Linked DNA regions of Coturnix japonica. The main gene of each other region encodes a partner of the protein of the gene in region 2 in a complex. Links are inferred from orthologs where the notes say so. Each region holds a gene or a part of one and is shown on either strand. Other genes may lie near its edges.

Region 1 (4,337 bases), on a different chromosome or scaffold from region 2:
AATATGCCTTTCAAATATACTCGTAAAACATTCCATAGCCATTCCAAGTAAAACATTCATTCCCCTTCCAGCCCCACCATGAGAATAAAGTGCAATCAGGAAGGCCTGAGAAACTATGTATTAAAAAAAGCAGTGTACAAGGCTCTTGTGCACCCACTGATAACCAGGAAGCATCTTTGGTTTTCTACAGAATTTAATGTGTTCAAGAACTGAAAATGGCTACAAATGGTGGCAAATGAATGCATAAATCAGGCTACTAAATTTGTTTCCTACTGATGGTATTGCTAAGCTTTGCTCTGCTAACAAAGCTGCAAGAGAAGCATCTGAAAAAGCTGTAAAAATTCTATTCTATCAATGCATTTTAAGCAGGACACAGAATTTCTCTCCTACAAGGATATGTTTACATAAAACCATAGATTAGTACACCATAGACCAACACAGTGTTGCCCTCCTCCAAAACATCAATCTGGAAAACTTCAGTATGGACAAAAATCAAAACACCAAACAAGTCACTGCTTTCTCAGGAAGCAAAGCCACATTATCACAACTTAATACAGCATTAGCACTAGAGAAGTTCATTAAAATCACCTTTTCAACAAAAACATAACACATCAAATCTGAAAGGTAAACCAAATTTATTTAAAACAAACAAAAAAAGACACTGCTATTCCCAAGATTGAAAAAACAGGGTGCTTTTACTTATGTCACACACAGCTCATTTACAGCAGTTACATTAATTCAGGGGAAAATGAGGTTTTCACACTGCTTCAGCTGACAGGTACTTTCTGCAAGAAAAACTCATTCCTCTTCCACAAAAAATAGGCAAAAACGTTCTATTAAAAAGTGTATGCAATTCTGAGACATGATCAAAACAAATCGTCCAAGAGCCTGAAACCTTCCAAGAAGGTTCAATCCTTGGTTGCTTCAGCCAACCCTCAGCGGGGGAGCTACAAGCACAACGCCGTCACCTCTGACAAAGAGCATCGGAATATTCCTTTTGGTAGACTATGAAGAAGCAAAGAAAAGATTACATTTACAAAAGAGAAGTATACAGAACACATCTACTAAGCATGTGACAAAATTCAATCCTAAAAAAACACCAACAAACATCAGCTCAAACATGCAACTTCGCGTCCTGCTGAAGATATCAAAATCAACAAGCACCTGGATGTCCTTTGTGCTTTCATAACAATTTGCCTAAAACACCTGCTAGATCCTAGTCCAAAAGGTGCAGTTATCAACACATTATTTTGACAACATGACAATCTAGATTGCAAGAAGTTTTCTATGGAGGTAAATACACTGAAGTCCTTACTTTATAAATCTCTTCGTATGTTTCTTCGTCAATCTCTATTGTTGTTACAGTTTCTTCCACATCGCCCAGAATCATATTTAAGTGCTGATCATATGCCTGTAGGAACAAAGTTCATTACTTCTTCCAAAATTCAAGCACAAGCTCATTAAATCCATAATTCTAGCAAGACACTCAAACAAAATTATTTTAACCTGATTTGGGTCAAGATGTTCCATGTGTGAACATGATGTATCAGCTGTAACTTCAACTATAAAGGCCAACATCAGTACTCCACAGCATAAGGAAGGCTCTTATACTCACTGAAACTCTCCTTCTGAAGCTCATGCACAAACTCTCAGAGGTGGACACACTTGTTCTTGTCGTTAGCATTAATCCAACTAAATATTATTTGCTATCAGCCCAGATTTCTGGGATTGGATTATCTATAGCTATGAGAGCTGTAACTCAAACAACAATACATAAATTTTAATTAAGCACTTGTTCCAAACACCCTACAAAGGGAACTTAGGAATTATACCAGTGCATCACAGATCTGTCCTCACCTTTTTGTTCTCAAATGTATTTGAGGCCCAGTTACCACATGGGAAACTGGTTCCCTTCCTCAGCACAGCACCACATTCCAGAAGGATAACACAACCAAACAGAAAACAAAAGTTTGTCTCACTAAGAGACATCGCTCTCAAAAGAAAACAAAGAACAAATCAAGTATGGAGAGAACCCAGCTGAGTACACATCCCAGCAGTCCTTGGGTTTGCTCTACAAGACAGTTGCTTGATATACTTATTTCCATCTTAACAGAGTCGAGAGTCCTTTATGAGATGATGCCTGCATTATTACTTAGTCCACAGACATGGGAATAAAAGCAAAAATCAAGAGAACGAATCACTTGGAATCATTTAAAAGACAACAGACACGGAAAAACAAAATGCACCTTTTGAATCTCTGGCAGAACACTGCACAAACCAAGCGCTGCTGTTGAGCACATTACAGTAACATAACAAATAGTTGCACATAACAGCACAGCCTGCTGCCTGCTTGGAATTGGCACTCACATGCAGCCTGCCTCTGAGCTCTCTGTCATTCCTCATCTTCACATAGATCCTCTCATCCAGACTGAGCCTGATGAGGTCGAGGGGCTCCTCGACGGTATTCGTTGTCTGTTGCTGAAAACAACACCGAAACAAGCAGTTATTCACGCAGGAGCAGTGAATACGAACTCCTCCACTCCTCAGTTTGCATTCTGAAACGCTCCCTCAAGTCCCAGTATCCACACAGAAGCAGACAGGCTGCATGGCTCAAACCAACACGGCAGCACGGCATATGGCAAAGGGAAGGCACACGGATGTGCCACCAACCCACCAGCTCTCTCTTCAGGCCCTCACCACCTCACTTGGCAGCCGGGGTGGCCGCAGAAACACCGCTCCCCCCTAAGAAAAGTAAAGAGCCATTCACCTGATCCACCTCGTCCGCCATCTTTCAAACCGCTTCTCGCTCTCTCTCGTGATACTTTATGGCCCGGCCTCTTCCCCCCGCTCTGAAGGGGCGGGGTAATGCTCGCCGCTATGGCGAGGAAGCGCAAAGCGTCGGTTCAGCGGGTGTCTGCCGGCAAAAGGCGGCCTGGAGGGGTGGGAGTACGGCGGGATGGTGCGGAGGAACGTGAGGAGGGTGAGTGTGGGAGGCTCGGCTTCTGGGGCTGCTCTGCTTTGAGGGAGGGAGGCAGTCAGCATGGAGCTCAGCAGCCCCCCATGATGGGCCGGGGCTGGAGTTGTTCAGTGCAGCTCTGCTGGAGCCTGCAGAGATATTGCTATGTATCCATAGGGATGAGGTTATATCCATGAAGAAAATTTCTTTCTTTTCGATGTAGGTGATTTTGTTGAAGAAAAACACAGTGTAAAGAAGAGCAGAGCCGGAGTTGCAGCTAGGAAGAAGGAGGAAGACAGTGATGCTGGAATTGCTAAGTTAGCAGAGAAGCCTTCAAAACAAAAAGGGGTAAAAGGGCGAGTGAAAGAAAATGAGAGAGACCCTGAAAATAAAGGGGATGATCACGAAGAGGAAAAGTGCAGGTAAGCTTAGCTGTTGTTCATCATGATGCGCTCTGTACCTCACTGTGGGTTGGATGTTGTGGTTGTTGTGGGTTGGATGTTGTGGTTGTTGTGGGTTGGATGTTGTGGTTGTTGTGTAGGGTCCATTGCCCTACAATGTTCACATAAAGGGGTTACGTTAAGCTGGCAGGCCAGTTTAGTTTGTCTGTGACACACAGCTGTACAGAAGTACTGCCTGGCTGATGGCAGGATCTGTCTGAGGAAGGCAGTCTGCATGGGAAGCAAATATCTGAGCCTTTTCAAATCAATATCGTAATTGTAAGATAGCGTTTCATTTATTTCTACACAAGACTAGGGAGGTTTTATGGCATCGAGCATGAACAGAAACATTGCTGTGAGATATATGGTCTTCCTGTAGAGATTTCAAGGGGGATTGTATTAATGAGAAGAATGAAGCTGCTTGGTCTCATTTCACTGGCCAACCAAATCATTGGGTGTTAGCGTAGTGAAACACAAGCACTTCCAATCCCAGTGCATTATGAGGTCTCAGTAAAGACAAATGATTCAATGAAGACATTCATACAAGCTGTTAGGAAAGATGGGTCATTGTTTTTAGGTTCAGTCATCTTCATTCAAACAACCTGTTAGAACCAGGACCTGTGTCTGCACTGAAACGTTGTTGTTCAACGAGCCTGTAATTATTCATGGCAAAGACTGCTCGCTTTACAGGCACACACACGGTTCAGTTGTCAAATACTTACAACCTTTACATCTGTTGTTACTGATGCAGAGATGATGCTTTGTTTATTTCCTCATTTTTGTTTTCATTCCCTTCCATTTTTAAATGAACAAACCCATGCACTTCCTGATGCTAAAACCATTCTTGTAATTTTAATAGTGACTCAGTGAAGGCCCCTCAGAAGGAGGTAAAGTTGAAGAGAGAATCTCCTATTAAAAAAGAGATGGATGAAGACAATACT
Region 2 (2,884 bases):
GCTGAGGGTTTGGGGCACTGTGAGATGGCTGAGCTCCTCCTAAAGCCCAGTGCTGTTACGGGATGGGGGTGACCAAGCTGTGTCCTGCCCCCCTGCACCATTTGGACTCCAGGTGAATTGTGGCTGTCCCAAAGCTCTGCTGGGAGCTGGGGGGGCTTAGAGAGAAGGGATCGCTGCCTCCTGCTGCTGGCTGCTCAATAAATCCCTGCTGTCAACTCAAAGCCTCCGGGCTCTTCTTATGGGTGAGGGTGGAGGTGCTGCCTTTGGGGCTGGAGGGTGATGGGGGGAGGGAACAGGTTTTGTGAGGGCTGTACCCCCCCATAAAGCACAGCCCCGGGGCTGCATTGCTGTGTCTGTGCTGCTCCCAGCTTGTTCTCCTGCTGCCAAACCCCAGCATGGCCCAGCTCCCTGCTGACAGCTCACTTTGCCTTAATTAGTTTTGCTAATTAACTCGCAGCAGCCAACATAAGGGCATAGAAGCACTATGCAACATGGGGGAGGTGTTGAAATTCAGCCTCACAGTTAAAGGCAGAAAAGCAGAGCGCTTTATTAGGGGGGAAACGACCCCAAATGCTTCTCAGCTTTCAGCCCCAAACAAATAAATGGGGGGAAGGGGGGGGAGGAAGGCTCAGCATTTATTGCAGCTGCTTCAGACGCAGCTCTGTTCTATCAAACACTGTACAACACCATAAAAAACAGGCAATAAGATACAGAGGGAGATAAGGAGCATCAGGGTTTGGTCGGGGGTCCTCACCAGAGCGGGGCAGTGCAGCCCCACAGCTGCTAATCGGATTCACTGTCGCTCTCGGCCTCCTTCACATCCACACTGAATTTATACTCCTGGTCGCAGCCCATGTAGGCGTCGCTCATGAAATACAGCGTGTAGTTGTGGGTCCCTGTGGCCGGAGCCACGAAATCCAGCTTCACCTGGAGAGGGGAATAAATGGGGTCAGGGCTGTGGGGTCGGGATGGGGGGCGAACACAGGGCAGCCCCACACAGCCCCGCTCACCTTGGCCTTCTGCTGCAGCGTCAGCCTCTTGATGGAGATGAGGCTGTTGGACTTGGAGTCTCCGATCACCACCCACCAACCCTCCTCACGTTTCTGCAGGGCAAAGAGCAGACAAACAACATTGGGGATGTTGCCCATAGGGATGGCTGCCCCCAAACCCCCCCCATGTCCTGGCACACACCTGTGGGAACAGGGGGGCGATGACGGGGCCGGTCACCTCCTCCTCCCTCTCCAGCTGCACCAGCACCACCACGGGCCCACCACTGCATGGACAGAAGGGATGTCAGGGTGCCAATGCAGCGCTGCATGGCTGCAGCACGCTGCCATCCCATGTACCCCCTCAATCCCTCACCTGCGGATGCTTTCCTTCTCCACCACCTCATACGACAGCTCGATGTTGGGGTAGCGGTTGCAGAAGCGGGCGACGTCGGCGATCTGAGCATCCGAGAGCTGCAGCAGCGCGTTCCGATCCTCGTCCTCCATCTCCATGATGTCGAACACGCTCTCCACCCCCTGCAGCAGCAGCACAGCACTCAGCCCTATGCTTACCATGGGGTCTCCATGCCTATATCACCACCTCTAGTTGTCCAGCACGGAGCCGTGGTTCTGGTTTGGGTTTTACCTTGTCGGTGCAGCGCTTGATGTGCTCAGAGGTGAAGTGAGGCAGCTGTTTGAGGTAGGAATCCTTGGACCACATGGCTTGTGTCACCATCTGCGCCAGCTCCATAGCGGCCAGAGCTGGGCTCAGCCACCCATTGCTGGACAGGACGTCCACACAGGCCTGGATCAGCCGGATCGCCTGCATACAAGAGATGGGGGTGGCTTAGAAAGCAGCACTGGGGGATGCAGCATCATCTCCCCCTGCCCGCCCTGCTGCACCTTGCTGAGGATCTCCTCCGTGTCCGACTGCAGCTCGGCGCTCAGCTGCATGCGCGATAGATGAGCCTGGAGCAGGAGGTTGGTCTTGACGTGGGGGTCGTTGAATTTGGGGTTGGTCAGTTTGTGGGGGACCTTCTGGGCCAGCTGTGGGGGGGGGACATGAATGAGGGGTTAGATCTGAAGCCTCGCAGGGCAGGACACAAAGGCAGGTTTTGTTCTGCATCACCTGGCGCAGCAGGTTGTCCTCGTGGTGCCGGATGGGGATGTTCTCATACTCGGCAGCGTTGGAGATGATTTCTATCAGCCCTCGCACTTTGGTTTTGGCGTTGAGGGACATGCTGAAGAGCTCTGGGGGGGACAGGGAGGTCAATGGGGTGAGGAAGAAGAGAGCAGCATTTGGCTGGGTGATGTAAGAGAGGCCTTCAGGCACACAACATGCAGCCTGGTGCTGAATGGGGGAGCTGCAGGCACACGGTGCTTTCCCCCCTTCACCCCCTGCATCCAGACACAGCACAGCAAGCACTGCAAGCACAGCAAGCACTGCACTGCCTCCAGACACAGCACAGAGCAGCATCAAGCACTGCACTGCCTCCCCTGCCCCCCTCACCGATGGTGGTGTAGTTGATGTAGTAATAAGCCGCGATCATCCCCAGGTTCAGGGGAGCCACGTCCATCTCGTCCTCGATGCTGATGCACTTGGATTGCTCCAGGTCGCTCAGGGTTTGCTCCACCAGCTCCGAGAGGTGATCGGAGAGATGCCTATGGGACACACCTGTGGGACCAGCAGTGTGCTCAGAATCCCCCATGCTGGACAATAGCTGCTTTCCTGCTGTCCCCCCCCAACCATGCAGCCCCCCCTGCTCACCCTGCAGGTTGTAGTAGTTGGGATTCTGCGTCATCCTGCGGTACAGGAAGGTCCAGGTGAGGTAATCCACAGCGTCCTGCTTGTTTTCAATGGTCTTGGTGACTATCTCGGCGTTGAAGTGGTCGTGCAT
Region 3 (4,149 bases), on a different chromosome or scaffold from region 2:
ACAAGGCTTTTTCCTGAAGAGGCTTTTCAGCAAAGCTCCACCTGCATGGGGACATGACTTACACTGGCGAGAAATGCTTCTAGCATGAGTCAGAATCTGGAACTGCAGGGGGAGCAAGGTATATTGGAAAACATACATGAATATAACAAATATTTGGGGAGCAGGACCTAATCTCCATTAGTTGGCTTGCTGGGTGTGAGATGGGACTTTTCTTTGATGCTTGCAACTGTTACAGCTAGGCTGACACTGTATAACGACTGGATAAAGCCTTATGAACAACCAAGAACATGGCTTAATCTTCTTCTTAAAACGGTGTCAAGGAGGCTTTGTCTCCAAACAGAACATCTTTCTTCGTTGTGTTTTCTTCACTTCCTCCCCAGCTCACATGGTTAATGAGAAACTCTTCCTGAACTCACGTAGTGTTGATAATGCAACAAATCTGCTATGAAGAACTGCGAAAAGAAAGCATTGACCTGATGGTATTCCGGTATCTCTTTGTAGCATTCCGAAATGGTATTCCAGAACATCTCTTTGTACACTGCTTTTGTCCTGGAGAGCTACTTACTGGCAGAGGTGTATGTGTGTGTTTTTAGGAATGAATTTTCATGTGCCGCCTCTTGTGTTTGCTTTGCCAAATCATCTGCCCATGGTGCAACACTCTTTACACAAACCCCATCCTTGTATGTTGGCTCCTTTAGGCTGAACACATCACAGAGGTAATTTGGGCCAAGGGGGAATAGAGCCATCTTGGGCCACTGATAAGCTGTGCCAGTAAATGTGATTTTGAAAGGAATCCAGTTGTTGGCAGCTGATTTAGAAACGTCCTTGGAAGCCGCTGGCGTTGTACATGTCACACTGTGACAGGGTTACTGTAGAATTAGATGTTCAATTAGATGTAAACGTTTGGGGGGGGGGGGGTCTTTAAAAAAAGAGTGTAATTACAGGCCTCTGTAAAATCTAAGGATGCTGTAATAAGTAGCACATGTAAGTGAAGTTTTCTTACAAAACACAGATCTTTCTTTTCTCGGATTGCTACAAAGGTCTCTATTTCAAGGAGGTTTTCCTTTCAAGATGCACTAAAAACGAGCCCGATTCACTCAGCAGACGACAGCACGCAAAGTGCCGAGACTGTAAGTTCAAAACAAAACAAACCAACATATTATTATTAAAACAAACCAAGAACAAAACGCCAGTGCAACACCGCACCCTGGCGTTGCAAGCTCCTCAATGCAGCCCGGCGCACCCGATTTGCGTCACTTCCTATGAGGTATAGAGCAGGAGCCGGACGTGTCTCCATCGCTGTCGGTGGGGAGCGGGGAGCGGGGAGCGACGGCGCCATGGTGGAGGTGAGGGCGGTTCAGTTCTTGTGTTACTGAGTGTTGTTGGTAGGAGCACAGAAGATGCTGTGCAGTTCTCCTACGTAACAGTTCTTTTACTGGGTGTCATCACTGTCCAGAGATATCTATAGTTGTTCACCTCCTGTTGTGGAGGTATTGAGTTACCTATTGCTTTTATTGCGACAAGCAGACATTTGCTACTGTAATTCCTGTTTCTTTTTGCAGTTGCATGGAATTTCTAGTTCCCAAGCCCTATTATAGATGTTCTTTATTTGATATCTAGATTTTACAGGACCGTCCTGAGCTAAAAGTTTTGTGTGGGCCCTACTGAGTTAGGGGAGTATGAAGTGTGGCAGAATGGGGCAATGAGTGGGTAAGCAGAGTCCAGGGCAGGAAAGCAGAGCTTAGTGGAGGAAGCCCCAGCTTAATGGAGTGTGGAGGCTGGGCAGCTGAATGGTAACTAGAGCCCGAAGTTCTTAATGCTTCCACTCTGTGTTGCTCCTATTTGTGACATACAGAGCGAGCACAAAGAGGCTCATACTCTGATTATCACATCTCTAATTATTTATTTATTGTGCCTTGAGAGGAAGGTAGGAATTAAAACCTGAATTGCGCGGTCCTAAACAAATATTCTATATAAGCTAATAGCTTTAAGTTCTACTATTTTGGCCCTGACTGAGATATTAACAATTATTAGCTTTTAGTAATGTGTAATTTCAAAAGGACAAGAGGCTTTGTCTTATTTGATCCCAGGATTACTTCTTATAGTAAACATCACTGTTCTTACATAGGGTGACACTGTGCAGAAACTGATGTTCATTTTTATGGAGGTAGTGCAATAAAGGAATGTTTTCAGAATCAGGTACTTTATTGTTTAGGTATAAAAGCATCTAGAAAACATGGAAGATAAACGTATTCATGTATTTTTAGATGATAGTGCAAATTTTTTCTGGCTTGTCATTTCTGAGAAACTGGGTTTTACTTTGAGCAGGCATTGAATTAAAACAACTAATAGATATACTTGAATCTGTAGTTTCTAAGAGGAGCAGTGTTTGATGGGAATAGTGTTGTATCATATGCAAGTCTGAAATTGCTACTCAGTTTCTTTTTCAGATTTCAGTTTTTCATTTAAACGTGGCTAAATTTATTTAAATATGCTTTCCTTTATTTTAGGAAGTCCAGAAGCACTCTGTGCACACACTTGTGTTCAGATCTTTGAAGAGAACCCATGATATGTTTGTAGCTGATAATGCCAAACCTGTACCATTAGATGATGAAAGGTGAGTGCTGTGGCTGAGTTTTACTTTGTTAGCAATTGTTCTATAGAATCATAGAATCACCAAGGTTGGAAAAGACCTAAAAGATCATCTAGTCCAACCGTTCACATTACTATTAGCTCCCGCTAAGCCAACACAACATCCAGTCGTTCCTTGAACACCCGCAGGGTCGGTGTCTCCACCACCTCCCTGGGCAGCCCATTCCAGTGCCTGACCACCCTTTCTGAGAAGTAGTAGTTCCTAATGTCCAGCCTGAATATCCCCTGCCACAGTTTGAAACCATTCATCTAGTCCTATCACTAATGACAAGAAAGAAGAGGCCAACCCCCAGCTCACTACAACCTCCCTTCAGGAAGTTATAGAGAACAATCCTATCCAAATCAGGAGTTTGGGTGTTCAGTACAATTAGCAGTTAAGGGAACTGAAAAGCATGAAGATTGTAATGTTAGCTGTATGAAAGGTTTCCTGTTTTTTAAAATATTTCAAAACTTAGTAGCAGTTCAAAAATCAGGATTTAATCAGGATTATGCTCTGTTCTTCCAACAGCCACAAAGTAAAGATGGCAGTCAAGCTGCGTACTGAGTACGGCTCAGTATTGCACATGCCTACTCTTAAAGAAAACATGAGAGAGAAAGGAGGCCCAGCCACTGGGGATCCATATGGACATAAACAGTATTCCGGAAATGAAGGTTTGTTATTCCTAGTACCATGTTTGTTCTTTGTTTTCACAAGGAAACAGTAGGAGACTTAATTCATTAGTAAAACAAGCAAGTTTTAAGGTAATGCTAGTGTGTGCTATATTTGGGTATTAGAGAGCTAATAAGGGTTGAGGATGTTGTCAAATTGAGGATGCTTTGCACCACCTACTCTGTTGTACTGTTTTGTTTGAATGCGTTATTTTGTTGGTCTTTAGGAGAAGAACTGGAGTATGTGATAACTGGCACACATCCATATCCACCTGGGCCTGGTAAGTAAAATTCTGTGTTTAAATCAGGTATTTCAGAGTTAAACTGAGATTTTTTTTTTAATTATTTTTTTAATTTTTTAATTTAATTTTGTTTTTTTTTTTTTAAGGTGTGGCTCTGACAGCAGACACTAAGATCCAGAGGATGCCGAGTGAATCTGCAGCTCAGTCCTTAGCAGTATCTCTTCCTGCTTCTCAGTCCAGGTACTGCTTTATTACTTCATTAACATTTGCATAATCTACAAGAACTACAAGTCAAAACAAAGTACTTTGAATATTCAGCTTTATAAAATACCTGAAAACCTGATCTAATGGTTTGCAACCTTGCCCATGGCAGGGGGGTTGGAACTAGATGACCTTTAAGATCCCCTCCAACTTAAGCCATTCTGTGATATGATTTTAAGTTGGTCAGATATCATCTTGGTGTATGCAGTGTTCTTTCTTGGCTGTCATTAGAGGCAGTGGACAGAAGGGGGAGAATGGGGATCACAGAATAACAGAATTGTAGGGGTTGGAAGGGACCTCTAGAGATCATTGAGTCCAACCCCCCTGCCAAAGCAGGTTCCCTACA

Evidence for each region.
Region 1: SNRNP200 (region 2) and LSM3 share a complex: the UniProt entries of both Homo sapiens proteins name them as parts of the U4/U6-U5 tri-snRNP complex. The link is inferred for Coturnix japonica from reciprocal best matches to the Homo sapiens genes SNRNP200 and LSM3.
Region 3: SNRNP200 (region 2) and PLRG1 share a complex: the UniProt entries of both Homo sapiens proteins name them as parts of the minor spliceosome. The link is inferred for Coturnix japonica from reciprocal best matches to the Homo sapiens genes SNRNP200 and PLRG1.

The regions. Positions count from the first base shown.
Region 1 is NC_029527.1:8,367,182-8,371,518, reverse strand, and holds LSM3 (U6 snRNA-associated Sm-like protein LSm3), read right to left. Parts: upstream 2,866-4,337; 5' UTR 2,789-2,865; coding exon 2,768-2,788; intron 2,479-2,767; coding exon 2,368-2,478; intron 1,412-2,367; coding exon 1,316-1,411; intron 1,006-1,315; coding exon 925-1,005; 3' UTR 617-924; downstream 1-616. Other genes in the region: XPC (DNA repair protein complementing XP-C cells), read left to right, coding at 2,866-2,980, 3,180-3,378, 4,256-4,337. UniProt on the Homo sapiens protein: Plays a role in pre-mRNA splicing as component of the U4/U6-U5 tri-snRNP complex that is involved in spliceosome assembly, and as component of the precatalytic spliceosome (spliceosome B complex).
Region 2 is NC_029537.1:1,041,059-1,043,942, forward strand, and holds the end of SNRNP200 (U5 small nuclear ribonucleoprotein 200 kDa helicase), read right to left. Parts: coding exon 2,755-2,884; intron 2,662-2,754; coding exon 2,497-2,661; intron 2,238-2,496; coding exon 2,116-2,237; intron 2,034-2,115; coding exon 1,890-2,033; intron 1,810-1,889; coding exon 1,633-1,809; intron 1,524-1,632; coding exon 1,363-1,523; intron 1,274-1,362; coding exon 1,192-1,273; intron 1,104-1,191; coding exon 1,011-1,103; intron 928-1,010; coding exon 784-927; 3' UTR 617-783; downstream 1-616. Other genes in the region: probable cytosolic iron-sulfur protein assembly protein CIAO1, read left to right, coding at 1-5. UniProt on the Homo sapiens protein: Catalyzes the ATP-dependent unwinding of U4/U6 RNA duplices, an essential step in the assembly of a catalytically active spliceosome. Plays a role in pre-mRNA splicing as a core component of precatalytic, catalytic and postcatalytic spliceosomal complexes.
Region 3 is NC_029519.1:18,056,454-18,060,602, reverse strand, and holds the start of PLRG1 (pleiotropic regulator 1), read left to right. Parts: upstream 1-1,233; 5' UTR 1,234-1,262; coding exon 1,263-1,346; intron 1,347-2,510; coding exon 2,511-2,617; intron 2,618-3,160; coding exon 3,161-3,303; intron 3,304-3,527; coding exon 3,528-3,581; intron 3,582-3,688; coding exon 3,689-3,782; intron 3,783-4,149. UniProt on the Homo sapiens protein: Involved in pre-mRNA splicing as component of the spliceosome. Component of the PRP19-CDC5L complex that forms an integral part of the spliceosome and is required for activating pre-mRNA splicing.